Nothobranchius furzeri: one gene and its partners. The protein of the gene in region 1 binds, or shares a complex with, the protein of each later gene. Links are inferred from orthologs where the notes say so. Each region holds a gene or a part of one and is shown in the gene's direction. Other genes may lie near its edges.

What was found.
Region 2: the proteins of nuclear cap-binding protein subunit 1 (region 1) and phax are in contact, whole or in part, in a cryo-EM structure (PDB 8PNT), measured with the Homo sapiens proteins. The link is inferred for Nothobranchius furzeri from reciprocal best matches to the Homo sapiens genes NCBP1 and PHAX. Residues at the interface, in NP_002477.1 of Homo sapiens: Cys380, Lys381, Pro384, Pro388, Gln389, Leu391, Ala392, Thr395, Phe417, His420, Leu421, Asn423, Phe424, Gln425, Arg427, Trp428, Ser429, Asp432; in NP_115553.2 of Homo sapiens: Ile114, Asn115, Asn116, Ile117, Trp118, Gly119, Val121, Leu122, Glu124, Gln125.
Region 3: the proteins of nuclear cap-binding protein subunit 1 (region 1) and ppargc1b are in contact, whole or in part, in a crystal structure (PDB 6D0Y), measured with the Homo sapiens proteins. The link is inferred for Nothobranchius furzeri from reciprocal best matches to the Homo sapiens genes NCBP1 and PPARGC1B. Residues at the interface, in NP_002477.1 of Homo sapiens: Glu26, Asp29, His30, Ser33, Leu34, Lys37, Val38, Lys41, Ser42, Ala43, Cys44, Asn49, Gly52, Leu53, Val56; in NP_573570.3 of Homo sapiens: Tyr1006, Glu1007, Ala1008, Met1009, Asp1010, Phe1011, Asp1012, Leu1014, Leu1015, Lys1016, Glu1017, Ala1018, Gln1019.
Region 4: the proteins of nuclear cap-binding protein subunit 1 (region 1) and ncbp3 are in contact, whole or in part, in a cryo-EM structure (PDB 8BY6), measured with the Homo sapiens proteins. The link is inferred for Nothobranchius furzeri from reciprocal best matches to the Homo sapiens genes NCBP1 and NCBP3. Residues at the interface, in NP_002477.1 of Homo sapiens: Lys330, Ile377, Glu378, Cys380, Lys381, Pro384, Pro388, Gln389, Ala392, His420, Asn423, Phe424, Gln425, Arg427, Trp428, Ser429, Glu431, Asp432; in NP_001107590.1 of Homo sapiens: Glu572, Asp574, Glu576, Leu577, Gln578, Ala580, Trp581, Gly582, Leu584, Ile585, Lys588, Glu589, Arg592.
Region 5: the proteins of nuclear cap-binding protein subunit 1 (region 1) and ncbp2 are in contact, whole or in part, in a crystal structure (PDB 5OOB), measured with the Homo sapiens proteins. The link is inferred for Nothobranchius furzeri from reciprocal best matches to the Homo sapiens genes NCBP1 and NCBP2. Residues at the interface, in NP_002477.1 of Homo sapiens: Glu32, Cys36, Leu71, Thr74, Val75, Arg77, Leu78, Leu79, Ser324, His325, Trp326, Lys327, Glu328, Arg329, Lys330, Ile368, Val370, Met371, Thr374, Glu378, Asn415, His419, Ser422, Asn423, Gln425, Lys455, Arg458, Leu459, Ser460, Tyr461; in NP_031388.2 of Homo sapiens: Gly4, Leu5, Leu6, Lys7, Leu9, Arg10, Ser11, Asp12, Ser13, Tyr14, Glu53, Glu54, Gln55, Tyr57, Glu58, Leu59, Lys62, Ser63, Asp65, Lys67, Ile69, Tyr89, Asn96, Arg99, Tyr100, Asn102, Gly103, Thr104, Arg105, Leu106.

Annotation. Positions count from the first base shown.
Region 1 is NC_091741.1:71,543,989-71,547,499, reverse strand, and holds part of nuclear cap-binding protein subunit 1, read left to right. Parts: coding exon 1-72; intron 73-198; coding exon 199-268; intron 269-1,384; coding exon 1,385-1,600; intron 1,601-1,749; coding exon 1,750-1,847; intron 1,848-1,939; coding exon 1,940-2,003; intron 2,004-2,079; coding exon 2,080-2,190; intron 2,191-2,346; coding exon 2,347-2,411; intron 2,412-2,503; coding exon 2,504-2,566; intron 2,567-2,646; coding exon 2,647-2,721; intron 2,722-2,900; coding exon 2,901-3,004; intron 3,005-3,127; coding exon 3,128-3,250; intron 3,251-3,511. UniProt on the Homo sapiens protein: Component of the cap-binding complex (CBC), which binds cotranscriptionally to the 5'-cap of pre-mRNAs and is involved in various processes such as pre-mRNA splicing, translation regulation, nonsense-mediated mRNA decay, RNA-mediated gene silencing (RNAi) by microRNAs (miRNAs) and mRNA export.
Region 2 is NC_091741.1:59,213,572-59,217,785, reverse strand, and holds phax (phosphorylated adapter RNA export protein), read left to right. Parts: upstream 1-1,405; 5' UTR 1,406-1,510; intron 1,511-2,297; exon of another isoform or gene 2,298-2,434; intron 2,435-2,574; 5' UTR 2,575-2,586; coding exon 2,587-3,804; 3' UTR 3,805-4,093; downstream 4,094-4,214. Other genes in the region: pmpcb (mitochondrial-processing peptidase subunit beta), read right to left, coding at 184-306, 1,174-1,257. UniProt on the Homo sapiens protein: A phosphoprotein adapter involved in the XPO1-mediated U snRNA export from the nucleus.
Region 3 is NC_091741.1:70,431,982-70,435,492, reverse strand, and holds part of ppargc1b (peroxisome proliferator-activated receptor gamma coactivator 1-beta), read left to right. Parts: intron 1-2,901; coding exon 2,902-3,511. UniProt on the Homo sapiens protein: Plays a role of stimulator of transcription factors and nuclear receptors activities. Activates transcriptional activity of estrogen receptor alpha, nuclear respiratory factor 1 (NRF1) and glucocorticoid receptor in the presence of glucocorticoids.
Region 4 is NC_091750.1:26,025,812-26,029,322, reverse strand, and holds part of ncbp3 (nuclear cap-binding protein subunit 3), read left to right. Parts: intron 1-2,532; coding exon 2,533-2,642; intron 2,643-3,511. UniProt on the Homo sapiens protein: Associates with NCBP1/CBP80 to form an alternative cap-binding complex (CBC) which plays a key role in mRNA export. NCBP3 serves as adapter protein linking the capped RNAs (m7GpppG-capped RNA) to NCBP1/CBP80.
Region 5 is NC_091748.1:71,743,269-71,747,411, forward strand, and holds the start of ncbp2 (nuclear cap-binding protein subunit 2), read left to right. Parts: upstream 1-1,336; 5' UTR 1,337-2,364; coding exon 2,365-2,439; intron 2,440-2,529; coding exon 2,530-2,616; intron 2,617-2,854; coding exon 2,855-2,949; intron 2,950-3,424; coding exon 3,425-3,563; intron 3,564-4,143. UniProt on the Homo sapiens protein: Component of the cap-binding complex (CBC), which binds co-transcriptionally to the 5' cap of pre-mRNAs and is involved in various processes such as pre-mRNA splicing, translation regulation, nonsense-mediated mRNA decay, RNA-mediated gene silencing (RNAi) by microRNAs (miRNAs) and mRNA export.

The DNA of each region.
Region 1 (3,511 bases):
TGGTAAGGAGCTTTATGAGAAGAAGGACGTTGAGATGGACCGACTACTCAGCCAGATCGAAGGCTACCTCAAGTGAGACTTCTGCCTTTTTTTTTCTCTATTCTTTACTGTTTTACATTCTCATTATTGAAAGAATGGTTTAATCCAATGAAATAATTTCATTCTACATTTAGCTCTGTAATGCCATTATATTTTCAGGAGAAGAGTCAAGACTCATGTTCCCATGCTGCAGGTTTGGACTGCAGAGAAACCCCACCCACAAGAAGAGGTGAGTCTCCCCAGTCCATTTCTGATCTGTTGTGTTTCTCACCACAAAGCTTCCGTTTGCAACTATTCCCTCCATGTAGAGCTCTGATCTAATAATTAGTCAGAATAAACAAGGCTACTTATGAAAAATGAGTCCTGAAGTTTTGCCGTTCCTGATCTTGTTGTTTTTTCTTAATTGACTTGAGTTTGTATGCGTTATAACTAATCTGTCCATGTGTTTGTGTTCAGAAAGACAAGCATCAGTTAAACCAGTATATATCACTGGGCTGTGGTTGTTGTTGCCTAAATGTTGGCGTGCGTTTTTAGTTTCTTTTTAGATGTTTCGGGACGACGGTGGCACAGGAGTTAAGTGTTCACCCCGTAATCGGAAGGTTGCAGGTTCGAGCCTTGCTCAGTCTGTCGCTGTCGTTGTGTCCTTGGGCAAGACACTTAACCCCCCTTGCCTGCTGGTGGTGGTCGGAGGGACCGGTGGCGCCTGTGCTCGGCAGCCTCGCCTCTGTCAGTGCGCCCCAGGGCAGCTGTGGCTACATCCCCACCAGTGTGTGAATGTGTGTGTGAATGGGTGAATGACTGATTGTGCTGTAAAGCGCCTTGGGGGTTCCAGGACTCTAGAAGGCGCTATATCAAATACAGGCCATTTACCATTTTTGCCATGTCCTTCTCTGAGTTACAGAGTTTCACTTTAGTGTTTCTCCAGTTCCCTCGGGAATCTGGAACCTATGTAGAACTTTTCCCAATTTGGTGACCTTGAGGAAGAAAGTGTGAGAAATGTGGGAAAACATTGAGATGTTTTTAAGACACTTTGTCACACCAAAAATGCACAACAGTTGTCAGTGTTGATGATAATGTTGAACTCAGCAGAGGCAAAACCTGAGTCATACATAGCAGCACAGTTTGTTGAAAATCCCAATATTTCTCATCATTCTCCACCTCCAACAGTTACGTTCCTCAACATTGCATAAAGTTTTAAAACTGATGCAGAGTCGTCTATGTAACCTAAAAATCCCATCCCCATGATATGCTAGCCTAACTTCACCCAGCTGTTGACCCTCCGCAGAGTAAGAAAACACTTGGAGCCTGCTGCTGTTTCTTCAGAAACCTGCTCTGTGTGTTTTAGTACTTGGACTGCCTTTGGGCTCAGGTCCAGAAGCTGAAGAAGGACCGCTGGCAGGAGCGCCACATCCTTCGTCCGTACATCGCCTTTGACAGTGTCCTCTGTGAGGCCCTGCAGCACAACCTCCCCCCCTTCACTCCACCAGGCCACATGCCTGACGCCCAGTACCCGATGCCCCGCGTCATCTTCAGGATGTTTGACTACACTGATGCCCCAGAGGTCCGTTCGTCTCTTTGTTTCATAACATAATTAGTTCAACTTGTTTGGGTCGGAAACTGGTTAAAAAGCAGCTTTACTCAGTAACCGACTAGTTATACTGTTCCGTACCCCTCTTCTTACTCACATAGTTGCATATCTGTTCTCTACAGGGGCCCGTCATGCCCGGCAGCCATTCTGTGGAGAGGTATGTCATAGAAGAAAACCTGCAGTGTATTATCAAAACCCACTGGAAGGAGAGGAAAACATGGTGGGTGGTGAGCCCTATGAAATCATCCTTTCTATAAAACATGAAGGTTACATGTGAGGCGTCTATCTGACCTTCTATTCGTAACCTTCCAGCGCTGCCCAGTTACTCAGTTATCCAGGAAAAAACAAGATCCCTCTCAACTATCACATTGTGGAGGTAAACTTCTTGTTCTTTCACTGGAGCCAAAAGAAAACAACAGTTTGATCAAATAAGAGTTACTGATTTGTTTCAGGTGATTTTTGGAGAGCTTTTCCAGCTGCCTTTGCCTCCTCACATAGACGTCATGTACACCACACTGCTGATCGAACTCTGCAAACTTCAGCCGGGGTCGCTGCCCCAAGTCGTATCTTTTTATAATGTTACCCGTATCGGGGGGAAGTGTATCGAGTGTTTTTGTGCAGATTATTGAAGGGGACAAAAGGATTCACTCATCTTCTAATGAAAACCAGGTGTGTGTTTTATCATTGTGGCAGATTTAACCTTAACATGAGTGTGATAGTTGGCTCAGGCCACAGAGATGCTCTACATGAGACTGGACACCATGAACACCACCTGTATAGACAGGTAAGGGACTGCATATTTAACAGGATATCCCCTAGAGGTCTGTCAACAGCACTCCAGTCCACACTCATCACTTCCCCTTTGTTATTGAATAGATTTATCAACTGGTTTTCTCATCATTTGAGCAACTTCCAGTTTCGATGGAGCTGGGATGACTGGTGGGTGATTATTTTACAGGCACTTTTATGAAATCAGGAAAAAGGTGTTAATTAAATGTTAAATATGTTTGTGGTTGAAGGTCCGACTGCTTGACCCAGGATCTGGAGATGCCTAAGCCCAAGTTTGTCAAAGAGGTTCTGGAGAAGAGCATGAGGTGATAACAGAGCTGCATTACTGGGGTGGCTTAGATAAGCTGTCAGCAGTCTGATTATACTTGTTTGTTCTTATTCAAGAATATTTCAGTGTGAGACATTCACTCTTGTGTTTCTACTCTTGGACAAGTTTCTTTTAGCTCAGTGTTATTTTATTTTTTATTTTTTGCATCACTTTCAGACTTTCCTACCACCAGAGGATAGTGGACATCGTCCCTGCAACTTTCTCAGCTCTCATTCCCGCTGAACCCCTTTTTTCTTATAAGTACGAGGATGAGAGTTCTGGTAGGAATTCTGATGTTTTATGTTATAAACATTTTAAAGAAACTTTCTGAAAACAGTTTAAGATGTTAGTGTTGTTTCCTTTATAGAATCCTAATAATAAATCAAATCTTTGCTTTCCCACAGCTTCGTTACCAGGTTACCCCGTCTCCATCACCGTTGGAAATGCCATCAAGAACCGAGCGTCCAATGAGGAAATCCTCGCCATTCTCAAGGAAGTCCCCAACCCAAATCAGGAAGACGACGACGGTTTGTTTAACTTTAACTTTACATTGTTTTTCAGAAAATCCTTTAAAGAGGTTCTTCACTCCTATTTTTAATACATTAGCGGTGGTCTCTAGTAGGAATAAATGCCTTGTAAGTTGTACTCTGGGGGAAAAAAAGCTCCGGTGCACCTGTTTCAGAACGGAGAATTAAACCAGAGGAGAAAGTGTTTATGTTTATTTATTTGGCAGACGCTTTTATCCAAAGCGACTTACAATTTATAACCTATAGCAGTGGTTCCTAACC
Region 2 (4,214 bases), about 12 Mb from region 1:
CCTCCAGCTTACATCTGATGCATGACTAGGGTGAAGCTATGGTGACTGAATCATGGTGGTGGGATAACTATCCAGTACTCTGATCCAGTATTGACAAAAAAAACTGTAAATTTAATGGCTGGATGTTTAAAGTACATGGTTGCTGTTTGACCCACATGCTGTTCATTTAGGATTTGAACTTACTGTGCACGTAGTAAGGCCGGAGTCCTCTGAAGCCACCCGCAGTCCGTTTTCTAAAGTAGTAACTTTAGTTTCTGGGACATTTAGCGCCACCTGGTGGGCAGCCCGAGTAGCCAACAGCCGCCGCTACAGTCACAAAATCAGCAAGTCAGTATGAGTCTTCAGAGTTAGACCAGCTGCTGTTAATCAGTACTAGTTAACTACATAGCATTGTTGTTATACTGACGGAGGGTGTTTCTCAATGTCAAGGCGCCTTGCGAGGCGATGTCTTGCGAGGCGCCTTGCTTACGAGGACACTGTCCTTCCTTGATCAAAGAAATCGGTTAAATGGAAGAACAAACGGAGAACACACGCCTCGGTAGAACATCCAGCTTCTAGTGGGGAAGGTCATTGGAACCGATTGGAACACGTCTTGGCGGCTCCTGATGGCGTATCTCCTAGGCAACCGGGGCGGGGCCAAGACATCAAGACAAGGTTCCTTGACGTTGAGAAACAATACCCGCTATTTCACTCCAACCAAACATAAGGATTTATCACAGTTAGCCTGTAGCGGCTATGTTAAACAGTGAGCCGGCTAAAACCTAGTTTCAAGCGTCCTGTAGACAATATATGATAAATGACCCGCACTTGTGTAGCGCCTCTCACAGTAAGGACTCCAAAGCATTTTACACTACAGTGTATCATTCATCCATTCACACACACACACACACACATTCACACACTGATGGTGATGAGCTACGATGTAGCCACAGCTGCCCTGGGGCGCACTGACAGAGGTGAGGCTGCCGAGCACAGGCGCCACCGGACCCTCCGACCACCACCAGCAGGCAACGTGGGTTAAGTGTCTTGCCCAAGGACACAACAGCAGAATTCTCTGTCCGGAGCCGGGATCGAACCTGCAACCTTCCGATTACTGGACAACCCGCTCAACCTGTTGAACTACTGCTGCCCAATAAACCATGATCGATTAAAATCGATTTTAATCATTCTTACCCCGCTGAGATAATTACTCTTGAGTAAGTTTCTTTGTAAAATAATTCTCCCCGCAGATGTGAGAAGATGAAATGACGCTGCCATATTGTTTATTTGTAAATGTGCGCATGCGTGCGTCACGCAACTTCCGCTACGGACAAGGAAGAGAAGGTGGTGCTTTGGTTCTTTAAAAAATAAAAGCAGTTGCTTTGAGAAATACTAATGTTTCTTAGAACCCGGAACTCAATAATTTATATTTGACAGTGGCACTCACGTGGTATATGTAATATTGGAGATCTGTGTAAAGATGGAAACTTTATGTCTTACGAGGATCTAACCCATACTTACAAATTGCAAGGTAAAGGACATTTTTGGAAATACCTCCAAATGAGACATTGTGTGACTTCTAAATTTAAGGAAGTTCCTGAGAATGATATTTTAGGTTATATTAAAATGCCACGTGACCGCCACACTGCTTCGGTGTTTTATAAACTGTTTAATCATGGTTTAAGTGGGGAGTCTTTAGGCATTAAACTACTTTGGCAGCGGGACTTGGAAACAGAATACACAAATGAAAAATGGCTAAATGTCTTATCAGACAGTGGTAAATATGTGAAAGAGGCTAGAAGTAAATTTATACAGTACAAGGTGTTGCATAGATACTACCATACTCCTACCAGGTTGCATAGAATTTTGTTTTTGTATGTTCTTGTACGTTATAAAAAATCTGAAGATAATAAAAACTTTAATTATAAAGAAATAATTTATATTTGGACGAAATTACATTGACGTATAAATAAATGCGTTTTAATGACCCCCCCCCCCCCCCCACACACACACACACACACACACACACATACATTTGTAAACATGCTACATTTAACATATAATATTTTGGCCCATGTTTAGTATGTTGACAATGCTAGTAAGTGTACACCTGCATAGTGACACTGTATTAAAATCCTTGAAACTTGGGGAGTTTTCTGAGATCATATTACATAGGAAAGCAATATTCTTGATTTTAGGACATATAATAAATAACACAACAGATAAAATGCCAAAAATTACGCATCCACAACCACAATATGTAAAATGCGTAGTTGTAGTTTTATTTTGAAACGTTCTGACAGTTCCCAGGCGGAAGTGGCGCTTTAGCCAGCGCCAATTCACCTCTGGCTCTTTCGTAAGTTGGTGCGTTCGTTAATCGTTGCGTTGAGGAGTCGCCAAGCTGATTTAAACTACATTCGCCTGCGGAATAGAGCTTTCTATCGGGCTCTTTAAGGTGTTCATTGCATTATTTTGTGGCCGGCCTTAGCATTGAGTTTGTTAGCCGCTAACGTGCTGTGGAGTTAGCTATGAGTAACCCGAACTTCAGAGACAAAGGTGTTGATAACAGCCTCTGTTGTTGGCTCTGACTTCCAGGTAGGCTACCGAATGGCCGAACTGATGGACGGTGACTTGGAAGATGGAGAAATCTCTGGGTCCAACTCGGACACCGAAATGGGAACGGCTGCAGCAGAACCTGACCGAACCGAGGCTTCCTCGGCTTTTAGCGGGCAGTCCTTTCAGCAACGAGCCGCCACCCGGCCGCCTGCCGCCCCATACCGAAGCTCCGCTAAGGCGGTGGAGTCCAGCGACAGTGATCCGGATTCTTCAGACGAGGATTCGGCCATGTGGCGCCGAAAGAGACAGAAAGTGTCTGGAGCTCCACAGCAGCCTGCAGGGTCTGCTCTGCCTGGTCCGAGGCCCGTGCCCGCCCCGGGTGCGCTTGGAAGTCGCAAGGTAAACAATATTTGGGGTTCCGTGGTCCAGGAGCAGTGCCAGGATGCCATCACCTCAGAGCTAGGCATCTTTGGTATGGAGGGTGTCAGCATGTCCAGCAGAAGTGTGGAGACTTATAACTTTGTTCTAGCCCGAAAGATGATGGAGAAGGAGAGAGAGATGGAGAAGCAGTCAAAGCAGGGAGAAGAGGAGACCATGCTAGATGCTGAACTGGAGGCCTACATGAAGGGCCGGGGTTCACAAGAGAAGGCAGGGAATGATGTTAAGAGGAAAAGACCCGCCAAAGAAAGACTTGGCGCCATAGCTGAGATGGACATCAAGGGTCGATTTGAAATCACTGAAGACGACCCCGAGGACAAGGTGGTGGACGAGATTACATACAGACTGCAGGAGCCTAAAAAAGATCTGATAGAGCGAGTTGTTCGCGTTATTGGATCACAAAAAGCCATAGAACTGCTGGGTGAGACCGCCACACTGGAGGAAAACGGTGGTGTTTACACTATGGATGGCAGCAGGCGGAGGACTCCCGGTGGAGTATTCCTCAACCTGCTGAAGAACACGCCCAGCGTCTCCAAGTCCCAGATCAGGAAGATATTTTTTGAGGAACATCAGAAAGATTACAAGAGCAAGAAGGCAGCGCAGAAGAGGAGGCGGCATGAGCTGGCTAAGAAGATGAAGCAGGCCATCGGCACTCTGAACCTGCATGAGCATGACGACGTCTCCAGGGAAACCTTTGCTAGTGATACTAACGAGGCCTTGGAATCTCTGGAGGAGGCTGCAGAGGAAGAGGAGGCGGGTCAGGAGGAGGTTGCTGTGGGAACCGAGGAGACGGCGGTGGTCTATAACTCGACAGACCTGGAGGTTTTCTGAACACATCCCTGTGTGTGATCATAGAAAACCAGAACTGAGATGAAAAAGGAGCACTGAAAACTAAAGGAGTCATTGAAGTCACACTGTTTGTTTGTATTCCATTTTTTATTTACCTTTAGAAATAAAAGAAACATTAATGCTAACAAATGAAAAATACTCTGTTTGTGTTCAAAATTATATCCTGGATCTGAATTTAAAAAAATCTTTGCTGATTTCAGTATATAAAGAGGTATTGTGTTAGTGTGTCATTGCAGGACAAATAAAAGAACTGTTGAAGAAAAATGTTCAGTAAAGCAGGAAGTCTTGCTTCTGTGATTCTGTCATGCAGAAAGAAAGGTTTCTAACAGCAACACGCAGGTTTGGTCCCAGACAGATCAGAATAACCCCTCTCCCATGACAGCTTTTGCAGT
Region 3 (3,511 bases), about 1.1 Mb from region 1:
TTGAATAAAACTAGTTGTGGTTTCAGCTTCTTCAGCTATAAGATACAGCCCCTGAAACATCTGAGATGGTGTTTAAATGAACAGAAAAGATTTTCCAAAAAGGTTCACAATGCAACCAAAAGTGGTGCGTGTTTTGCTGCGCCAGCTTTTATTTAACAAATGACAGATGTTTTATTTTAGAAATACTCGGAGCATTCAGGCTTGTAGAGACCTTCAGCTGCTGCTCATGATAAATGTGGTGTTGAGGAGGAGAAGACATCTACAACAGCTACTGCTGTATGACTTAGCAGTAATTGGATAGCTGCTAGCATTGTACTTCAAGTGGTCATTGATTACAGCATGAGTCATTTATCTTTTACAAGAAAAGGACACTTCACACAAACTTCTGCTCCTGCTCAAGTGAAGAGGGTACAAGAAGCCCACAGGAAGTGGTCGGTCTAAACCAAACCTGAATCTATCATCCACTATTAATCAACTCGCTGTCGATGGCTGTGTGTGCAGTTTGAGAGTGGTGTGGCTTTTTTGCTTTGGCAGATGGCAAAAGTATTGACTGACAGGGCAAGAGGGCAACGGTGAATCACAGGCACTCCCTCTCCTCTCTATCTGTGTGAGTAATATAGATCTGCCATTTTAGTACAGCTGCAGACTGAATCATCCCACGTCGGATGGGAGGGAAAACTTACTGCCTTTTGTTCCTAGATACAGTGTCCAGGGCATCAACATAGAAATATATGGACAATGGGTTTCCATAGACTCCAATGACATGTGTTTGAGGAGAAATGGGAGGTGGCCACAACCGCCATTTTGACTGTGTCACAGGTTCCGTCAAGCCCAGACAATTCCACAAAAGGGAACAGAGGTGGAGCTGAGGGTGGGGCTGTAAGGCTGGGATCAAATGACGACACCCGTCGAACTAGCTACAAGCTTACCTGAAGCTAACCCGAAGCTAACGCAGAGGTGGGAGCTAAGCTAATGGAGGTAGCAACCTAGCTACAACCAGAGTTAACTGTGCACAACACCAGAGCTTCTGAGTCAGAGGTACACCGGGCTGACCGCTGGGTAAAACCGGGTGGAACACAGAGGTCTCGGAGACCTCCACAAGCCGGCAGCCACACAGCAGACAAGCGCCACGGCGATCAGAGATGCGCCGAGCTGCGGTGGGGACCATACCGGTAGTCGGAACCCAGCTCCACCAACATGTTATATTTCAACCCATTTTCTAAAGTGCAGCATTATGTTAAATGTACTGGGTTTTACCCTATTACATTTAAATATCATGGTTAAACAGTACATGTTAAAATCTAAGCAGCTAGTGCAAGAGCGGCAGTGACCTAAAATCATCGACATAAATACATAAATATAATTTTACTTACAGAAATAATGAAGCAGAGACTCCTTGGACGCTCTATTAGTGCAATTAATACCACAGCAAGTCATTTTGTCCAACAATTGCACAAATAATATCCAAAAAAGAACGCACAAACGCTACAACTAAGTTCAGAGACTAGGCAGGGCTGAGGCTCAGACTGAGCCTACTGAGGCCTTTCCACGGAGCTAGCTCTGTGGTCAAGTGGGTCTGATGCTCATTAGTCATACAGAATTTTAGGCTTTTAATACACTTAAACAGAAGAGTGACAAAAAATTCACCCCCTCAGAGTTGTCATGAGTGTAAACTAGATCATTTAAACCAAAACCATGTTTTGGTACCAGGCTGTAAACATGTTTATTTCTACTGTGAAATTGGTATTTTTAACATGGGAGTCAATGAGGATTTGCTCGCTTCTGACACCAGCCCCTAGTGGATGAGGGTGGAACTGCAATTTATTTCACTTCCGCGTTGGCCTCAATTTCTGTCCCGCATTGTGGGGGCTTGGTCCAGGGCAGGAAATTGGAAATACAATCTTGTGGTTGTTAAGTTTGTTTTTCTTGTGTGGTGGTTCACTTTTCTTTTCTATTATCAGACAGTCTAGCAATTTATTTCCAGCACAAAAAGAAGGAAAATGGAAAATTGCAGAATTCTTGCTGATCCTCATGATTAAAGAATGAAGATTTCTAGATAAAGATACCAACATGCACTGATGTTGCTTGACAGAGTTGGTGCTGTCGCTGATGTGTTGTATTTACTTAGAGTCATGCAGCTAAATTATTCCCAGAGGAAAATCGTTGTGATTTTATTGGATATTTTCCGATTCAACCTGCTCTACTAAAAAAATAAACAAAAATGTCTGATTCCTTAAAAATTTGTGAAGGCATTCAGTTTTTACTTCCTGTTTTTTTTTCACACACAAAAAAATACAAAAAGGTTCATATAAAAAAATCCATGTAAAATCTACTTTTTTGAGCTTGTGATAAAATGTGATATCGTCATTTCCTCTTGAAAAAAAAACCCTTTTTGGCTGCATTCATGCATTTTCCTGTTTCAGCTGAAAATTTAGAGTTTTACTTTGAAAGTCCTGTAAAGCACTAATGGAAACTAACCTCGTCATCAGGTCCCACTCCTCTCCTGGACGCTTGTCTCTGGTCTGTCTCCCCTGTCCAGATTAGGATGTGTGGCTTAGGCGACTGCAGTCTTGTAGCAGACTATTTCTGGGTATAAATTCAGTCTGACGAAATTAACTCGCATTTAAGATAAATGACATCTCAATAGTGCCAACTGTATTATTTTATCATTTACTGAAACTGCCTTTGTTCTCACAGGTTTAAAGTAGCATGCTACGGAACCTTTAAACACAAAAATTTGCAGAAATTATAACTTTAATGAACCTCATTACCTGTACAAAACAGCATAACAGGCAGAAAGAAAAGAAGAAAAAGCACAATATCAATTTTAGAATGATTTTGACTCTTAAGCTCCAGCAAATCTTGCCATTGGTTCAAGTCTTTTTTTTTCATCACCCCCAGAGTGAACGCCCTCAGGAGCGGAAGCCTCGAGCCGTGCGTCCTGCAGGGCGTCTGTGCACAGAGCTGCACCGCCACCTCACCACCGCACAAGATGCAGAGAACAACCCAGTTCTCAAGACAGATGAGGACGAAGAGGAAGAAGAGGACGAGGAGAGTGTGTCGGAGGAGGACGAGGAGGAGGAAGATGAGGAGGAAGGGGAGGAGGAGTCTTCCAGTAGTGAAGTTGAAGGTGCAGCAGTTGCAGCTGCTGTGCCTGTGGAGCCAGCTACATCTCAGTTCAGCTCAGAAAAAGAGCTGCGCTCTGTAGTGGAACTGATTACGTACATGCACACTTACTGCCTGCCTGTGCGCAAGCAGCAGGGCTGGGAGCGCAAGGACCGTGAGCTCTCCCGGCCTCGGGCCAGGCCTGAGGCCTCCCGCTTGGCCACTACAAACTCTCACAGCCGAGTGGTCTTGGTGGCTACTCCTGGGACTAATGGGGGCTTGACTGGGACTGCCAACAGCACCCCCCGGAGGATCCCCTTTACTAGGCGGAGGGAGATGAAGGCCAACTCCCTTCTTCGTGAGCTCTTGCAGCAGAACAGCTCCTTCGATGTGAGCAAGCCTTATA
Region 4 (3,511 bases), on another chromosome or scaffold:
CACCCGCAGGAGGAACATGAAGGGTCCGGTGCAGTGTGGATCGGGTGGCAGACCAAGACGGGAGCCTTGGCGGTCCGATCCCCGGACAAGGAAACTGGTTTTTGGGACATGGAACGTACCTCGCTGGCGGGGAAGGAGCAGGAGCTTGTGGCAGAGGTTGAGCGATACCGGCTAGATATAGTCGGACTCATCTCGACACATAGCATTGGCTCTGGAACCCAAGTCCTTGAGAGGGGGTGGACACTCTCCTTTGCTGAAGTGGCTCTGGGTGAGAGGGGGAGGGCTGGGGTTGGCGTTTTTGTTAGCCCCAAGACTCTCTGCCTGTGTGTTGGGGTTTACCCCAGGGGACGAGAGGGTAGCTTCCCTGCGTCTTCGGGTTGGGGAATGGGTCCTGACTGTTGTTTGTGCTTATGGACCAAATATCAGTTCAGAGTACCCACCCTTTTTGGAGTCCCTGGGACGAGTGCTAGATAGTGCTCCATCAGGGGACTCCATTGTCCTGCTGGGGGACTTCAATGCTCACGTGGGCAATGACAGCTTGACCTGGAGGGGTGTGATTGGGAGGAACACCCACCTGATCTGAACTCGAGTGGTGTTTCATTATTGGACTTCTGTGCAAGCTGCAGTTTGGCCATAACGAACACCATGTTCGAACATAAGGATACCCATCAGTACACTTGGTACCAGGGCAGCCTAGGTCGCAGGTCGATGATAGACTTTGTAGTCAACTATAGGGGGATCACACTCCTCAGCCTCCCTGGAAAGGTCTACTCCAAGGTACTGGAGAGGAGGGTCCGATCGATAGTTGAATCTCAGATTGAAGAGGAGCAATGTGGTTTTCGTCCTGGCCGTGGAACTGTGGGCCAGCTCTATACCATTGCAAGGGTGATGGAGGGGGCATGGGAGTTTGCCCAACCAATCCACATGTGTTTTGTGGATTTGGAGAAGGCTTGTGACCGTGTCCCCAGGGGCACCCTGTGGGGGACGCTCCAGGTGTATGTGGTGGGTGGCTTTCTGTTAAGGGCCATTCAGTCCCTTTACCAGAGGAGCGTGAGTTTGGTCCACATAGCCGGTAGTAAGTCGGACCTGTTCCCGGTGAGGGTTGGACTCCACCAGGGCTGCCCTTTGTCACCGGTTCTGTTCATTACCTTTATGGACAGAATTTCTAGGCGCAGCCGTGGTGTGGAGTGTGTCGAGTTTGGTGGCAGGAGAATCTCGTCTCTGCTTTTTGCGGATGATGTGGTCCTCCTAGCTTCATCCAGCTCTGACCTTCAGCTCTTGTTGGGTAGGTTTGTGGCCGAGTGTGAAGCGGCTGGGATGAGGATCAGCACCTCCAAATCTGAGACCATGGCTCTCGACCGGAAAATGATGGCTTGCCAACTCCGGGTCGGGAGAGAGGTCCTACCTCAAGTGGAGGAGTTTAAGTATCTTGGGGTCTTGTTCACGAGTGAGGGTAGGAGGGATCGGGAGATCGACAGGTGGATTGGTTCAGGGTCTGCAGTGATGCGGACGCTGAGCCGATCTGTCGTGGCTCTCGATTTACCGGTCGATCTACGTCCCAATCCTCACCTATGGTCATGAGCTTTGGGTAATGGCCGAAAGAATGAGATCGCGGATACAAGCGGCCGAAATGAGTTTCCTCCGTAGGGTGGCCGGGCTCAGCCTTAGAGATAGGGTGAGGAGCTCTGACATTCGGGAGGGACTCGGAGTAGAACCGCTGCTCCTCCGGATCGAAAGGAGTCAGTTGAGGTGGTTTGGGCATCTGGTCAGGATGCCTCCCTGGGGAGGCCCCCGGATCGACCCAGGACACATTGGAGAGGTTACATCTCCAATATGGTCCGGGAATGCCTTGGGGTCCTGCCGGAGGAGCTGGTGGAGGTGGCCTGGGAGAGGACAGTCTGGAGCTCCCTAGTTGGGATGCTGCCCCCGCGACCCGGACCCGGATAAGCGGAGGAAGACGACGACGACGATTTAGCATTTCTGTTTGAACTACAAAATCATATTTGTTTCTTTAGACCACAGGTGCCAAACTAAGGCCCTCAGGACCAAATTTGGGTCGCAGTCTATTTTTATTTGGCCCGCAAGATCAAATATATATTAAAGTTGCCCACCGGCCGATTTTGCTGCAAAGACGAGTAGTAAATAGTCCAAAGTTAATGCCAAAGCCATTTGTTCTGAGCTGATGCCATCTTTGTAGTTTTTCTCCCTCACTACTCTGGTGCTAAGCCCACCAAGCAAACGTAGAGTGCGCTGATTGGCCAACGGTAGACTTGCTGAGTCTACAATGGAGCGTGGCTAGACCGACCAGCACAGCTGAATCTTGTAGTCAGGATTTCTAACTCTTCCGGACTGACCCGGGACCCACCGCCCTTGATGAGTCTGGTGTCTGTAATCCTGTGTAGATGATGAGTTGTGTGTGTGTGTGTGTGTGTGTGTGTGTGTGTGTGTGTGTGTGTGTGTGTGTGTGTGTGTGTGTGTGTGTGTGTGTGTGTGTGTGTGTGTGTGTGTGTGTGTGTGTGTGTGTGTTTCCAGGAAGAGGAGGTATCACAACCGCCGCATACAAAGAGACGTCATCAAGAGCAAGAAACCTCTGATTGGAGACAGCATGGGACACACACCTCCATACACACACCGACACTCAGGTAACAACACAATAGAGCTGATGAAATTGAAACGTGGTTTTTATCATGGAGTCTAAATCGGCTGATTAAGGCATTCACGCGTAGAGGTCATTCCCTAGCCTGGCCTGCCAGACTCCTCCTCTGGTTAATTCTGCACAGAGAAAGGATCTGGGAACTCTCCTATTCAAATGACCCCGCCCCCTGAGAATTCTAACCGAGCCAATCAGCGCTGAGTAGTGTACGTCACACACCACAACGCCAAGTTTGTAATTAACATGGCGACTGAAGTGGAGTTCGCTGCGGCTCTTTCCTCTGTTCCAAGTGACTTGGACATGTCTTTAAAACCACAACAAGTAGAAGTGCTAAAAGCCTTTCTTCTAAAGAAAGATGTCTTCTCCGTTGTCAGACGCTATTTTTGACCACAGCTAAAAAACTACAGCGTCACGCGGTACAGTCTGCATTTCCGTCTTTTTCCTGATTGGTTATTTTTGAGCTGGCTAGTCCCGCCCCCCATGTGCCACTCTGCCTGTGAGTTACCAGACTCTCTCTGTGCAGAATTAAACAGAGGACGAGTCTGGCAGGCCAGGCTAGTCATTCAACATGTCGGGGTTCCTTTGATCAGTCAGTGTAGGGTTGGGCATCGAGCATCGGTTGGAACCGGTACCGTCAGTTCTTCCTGGATTTGCTCAAATCTTTATATTTTAATTCCTAAATATGATTCTCAGTGAATGAGCGGCCAATCTCCATGGAGAAAAAAATGTATCTGCAAATTCTGATCAACGCCTTTCAGAGCCGGGCATACCACCTACCTGTCGCTCCTACTTCGCAGCCTTCAGATTCCCCGAGGGCTGTATTGCAGCACCACGGGGTCGGGATGTTTTCTGAAAAGC
Region 5 (4,143 bases), on another chromosome or scaffold:
TTAAAATGTAAAAGGAAAACAATGGGAGGGATCCAGACAGTAGCCAATGGCACCACATCTTCGTAATTATATAGAAAAGTACACTGACTCACTGACTGTCCTAGCTTCATCCAGCTCTGACCTTCAGCTCTTGCTGGGTAGGTTCACGGCTGAGTGTGAAGCGGCTGGGATGAGGATCAGCACCTCCAAATCTGAGACCATGGTTCTCGACCGGAAAAGGGTGGCTTGCCAACTCCGGGTCGGGGGAGAGGTCCTACCTCAAGTGGAGGAGTTTAAGTATCTCGGGGTCTTGTTCACGAGTGAGGGTAGGAGGGATCGGGAGATCGACAGGCGGATTGGTTCGGCGTCTGCAGTGATGACGCTGAGCCGATCTGTCGTGGTGAAGAGGGAGCTGAGCCAGAAAGCCAGGCTCTCGATTTACCGGTCGATCTACGTCCCAATCCTCACCTATGGTCATGAGCTTTGGGTAATGACCGAAAGAACGAGATCGCGGATACAAGCGGCCGAAATGAGTTTCCTCCGTAGGGTGGCCGGGCTCAGCCTTAGAGATAGGGTGAGGAGCTCGGAGATTCGGGAGGGACTCGGAGTAGAACCGCTGCTCCTCCGGATCGAAAGGAGTCAGTTGAGGTGGTTTGGGCATCTGGTCAGGATGCCTCCTGGACGCCTCCCTGGGGAGGTGTTTCGGGCATGTCCTGCCAGCAGGAGGCCCCCGGGTCGACCCAGGACACGTTGGAGAGGTTACATCTCCAATCTGGTCCGGGAACGCCTTGGGGTCCTGCCGGAGGAGCTGGTGGAGGTGGCCGGGGAGAGGACGGTCTGGAGCTCCCTAGATGGGATGCTGCCCCCGCGACCCGGACCCGGATAAGCGGAGGAAGACGACACTGACTCAATACCCTTGGGTATTTGCTTTCCTAAACATATGTTTATGAAGGAATGATTAGGTTTAGTTAGAAGTTAATCCATTACACCATCTCATTTAGACAAGGCAGTTTTATTTATATTTCAAACAGAAGCAATTAAACGTCCTTTCAGGTCCAAGTAAAACGCCCGAAAACAAAAATTAGCCGACAGAGTAAAACTGTAAGGTTCGTCTTCAGCGTTCAGACATAAATTCTGATTGCTTTACAGCCAGACAGGACGTGGTTTATAAAAAAAAAGAAGCATAAAGATGCAAATGTTTAAATCGAATTTAAGATGTACAAATAAAAATATTTAAAAAAAACTGCAGAAGGTGTTGATGTTGGAAGAAAAAGAATATATATATATATATATATATATAAAATCAGTAATTTGCTAATGAGATTTCTTGCACATATATGGCATTAAAACACTTCTGATGCTGATATAAAAATCCCCATCTCACCCTCCGTGGGTGGTCTCATCCTTCCAACCTTGGGTCCTCTACCAGAGGCTTGGGATCTTGAGGGTTCTGCAGTATATTAGCTGTTCCTAGAACTGCACTTTTCTGGACTGAGAGGTCTGATTGTTTTCCTTGGATCTGCTTTAGCCACTCCTGCAGTTTGGGGGTTATTGCCCTGATGACCATGGGCACCACCGATGTCTTCACTCTCCAGCTTAAGTTCTTCTTTGAGGCCCTGGTACTTTTCTAGTTTCTCGTGCTCCTTTTCCCGGATTTGCATGACTTGGTATCGCCACATCAACCACAACGGCTGATCTCTGTGGTTTGTCCACCACCACAATGTCCGGTTGGTTCACCATCACCATTTTGTCAGTCTGGGTCTGGAAGTCCCACAGGAGCTTGGTTCTCTTGTTCTCTACCACCTTAGGGTCAAAAGGTACGTGCAGTCCAAGTGCACCAAAATACAAGAAATCCTGAAAGTGATGGTCTGGTCCCACAGAGCCTGATCTCAACATCAATCGTGTGTCTAGGATTACAGGAAGAGACAGAAGGATGTGAAGAAGTCCATATCCACCGATGATCTGTGGTTAGTTCTCCAAGATGTTTAGAACCAGCCCAGTTCCTTCAACAAATGTGTGTGTGCACCTAGAACTGATGCTGTTCTAAAGGCAAAAGATGGTCACACCAAATATTGATTTGACTTGATTTAGATTATGTCCATTCACTGCTTTTTTGATTCTTGATAAATGATTAACACTTCCAGTTTTGAAAGCATTCTGCGTTTTTCCCACTAATACACTAAGAAGAAACACACACACAAACAACTACAAAGCTCGGATGAAGGCGAAAACTTAAAAAAAAATTGTAAGCAAACGCAAAATGATCTAATTTAGCGATCCTCCGTGTTTCCTCCCGGATGTATTTAGTGGACGGACAAAATACCCGGAAGTACATCATCCAAACTCGCGTCGTTAGCATTCTGCCTAAGTAGTCATTTATCCAAAATGTCTTCTAAACTAAACGCTTTAACCAGCGATTCTTACACTGAGATTAGTCAATATAGAGATCAACACTTTAAGGTAAGGGAGAAGGTGAATGAATTCGACTTTTGTATGTAAATGTGTTTTTCTCCTGCTCTAAGAGTAGTTTTATGTCATGTTTGTTTTTAGGGTAATCGTTATGAACAGGAGAAGCTGCTAAAGCACAGTAACACTCTGTATGTTGGGAACCTCTCCTTTTACACAACGGAAGAGCAGGTAAGACCTTTAAATAAAGCTAGCTTCGGCTTCCTGAGGACTGCTTTACTTCTTACATTATTCCATGAAAACCTTTCAGAACTTCTAAACGTGGTTATAACCAGCTAAATAATCCGATGTTCAAGATCGATGTAGCTACTACTGAGATCTGATGAATGTTGGCTTATAAAAACTAGACGGTTGTGGCTGGTTTATACTAGATTGAAGGCATATTTCGAATCACTGCTAATATGAACAGGTGCACGAGTTGTTTGCTAAATGTGGAGACGTGAAGCGTATCATCATCGGCCTGGATAAAATCAAGAAGACTGCCTGCGGATTCTGTTTTGTTGAGTATCCTTTTAAACTATTGGTAAATGGCCTGTATCTGTATAGCATCTTCTTAAGGTTCTACAGCCCCCCAAGGTGCTTTACAACACAATTAGTCACCCACCCACACATTCACACGCTGGTGATGATGAGCTACAATGTTGCCACAGCTGCCCTGGGTGCATAGACTGGCACAACCGGTCCTACTGACCACCACCAGCAGACAAGGCAGATTAAAAGTTTCGCCCAAGGACACAACAGCAGCATTCTCTGGCTGGAGCCGGGATCAAACCTACAACCTTCCAATTACTAGACAACCCACTCTACCTCCTGAGGTACTGCTGCTCTATCGTCACCTGATCTAGTAAAGCCAATTGATGCACAAGAAAACAAACCGTTTAAATGTCAACAGTGTTTCTGTCTTGACTGGTCGTGTATTAAAAGGGTAGCATTGATGTGAAAATGAACAGAGTGTGGACCTTAGCTGCGCCTGTACCAGATACTACACACGAGGAGACGCAGAGAACGCCATGCGCTTCGTTAACGGTACCCGGCTGGATGACCGGATCATCAGGACAGACTGGGACGCAGGCTTCAAGGAGGGCAGGCAGTACGGGCGTGGCAAATCTGGAGGACAGGTGAGGTTTACGGTCATTTTGGTTCATAATGTGAACTTGCTTAAAGGCCCAGTGTGTGATATTTTTTACCAGTTTACTATCAAATCCTGTGTTTGCAGTTCACAAACTGCAAACTTATATAGTTATACATTTTATATACATAATCTGTGGTCGAGGCTCCATGGTCATCCACCATCTTAAAATACAGTAGCTGTTTAGGGACATACGAGCTCCACGTTACCGTTTGGACTATGACTGTAACCTGAAAGAACCAGCAGAGGGCAGCAGTGTGCCCTGGAAGCATGAAGTCTGCTAATTCAACTAAGAAATAGAAAAGAATAGCTACACCGTTGCTCTACTTGTTAGTTTGAATTAAAAACAACTAAATCAAAAGACATCAAATTTGTCCATTCCTCGTCATGTCCAACACAAGATCCCCGCCCGCCATTATCTGGAAGCCAGCCTCTGATTAGTGTCTCTGACTCCCAAACTCACCTCAAGTTGTTCATCCATCTTTTCGTAGAACCAGAACTCCCGATCCGGTCCCAACGTGTCTGTACTAAAGTCCTTCTACTCAAGTCTCCTCTCTTCCCGCAGCCTG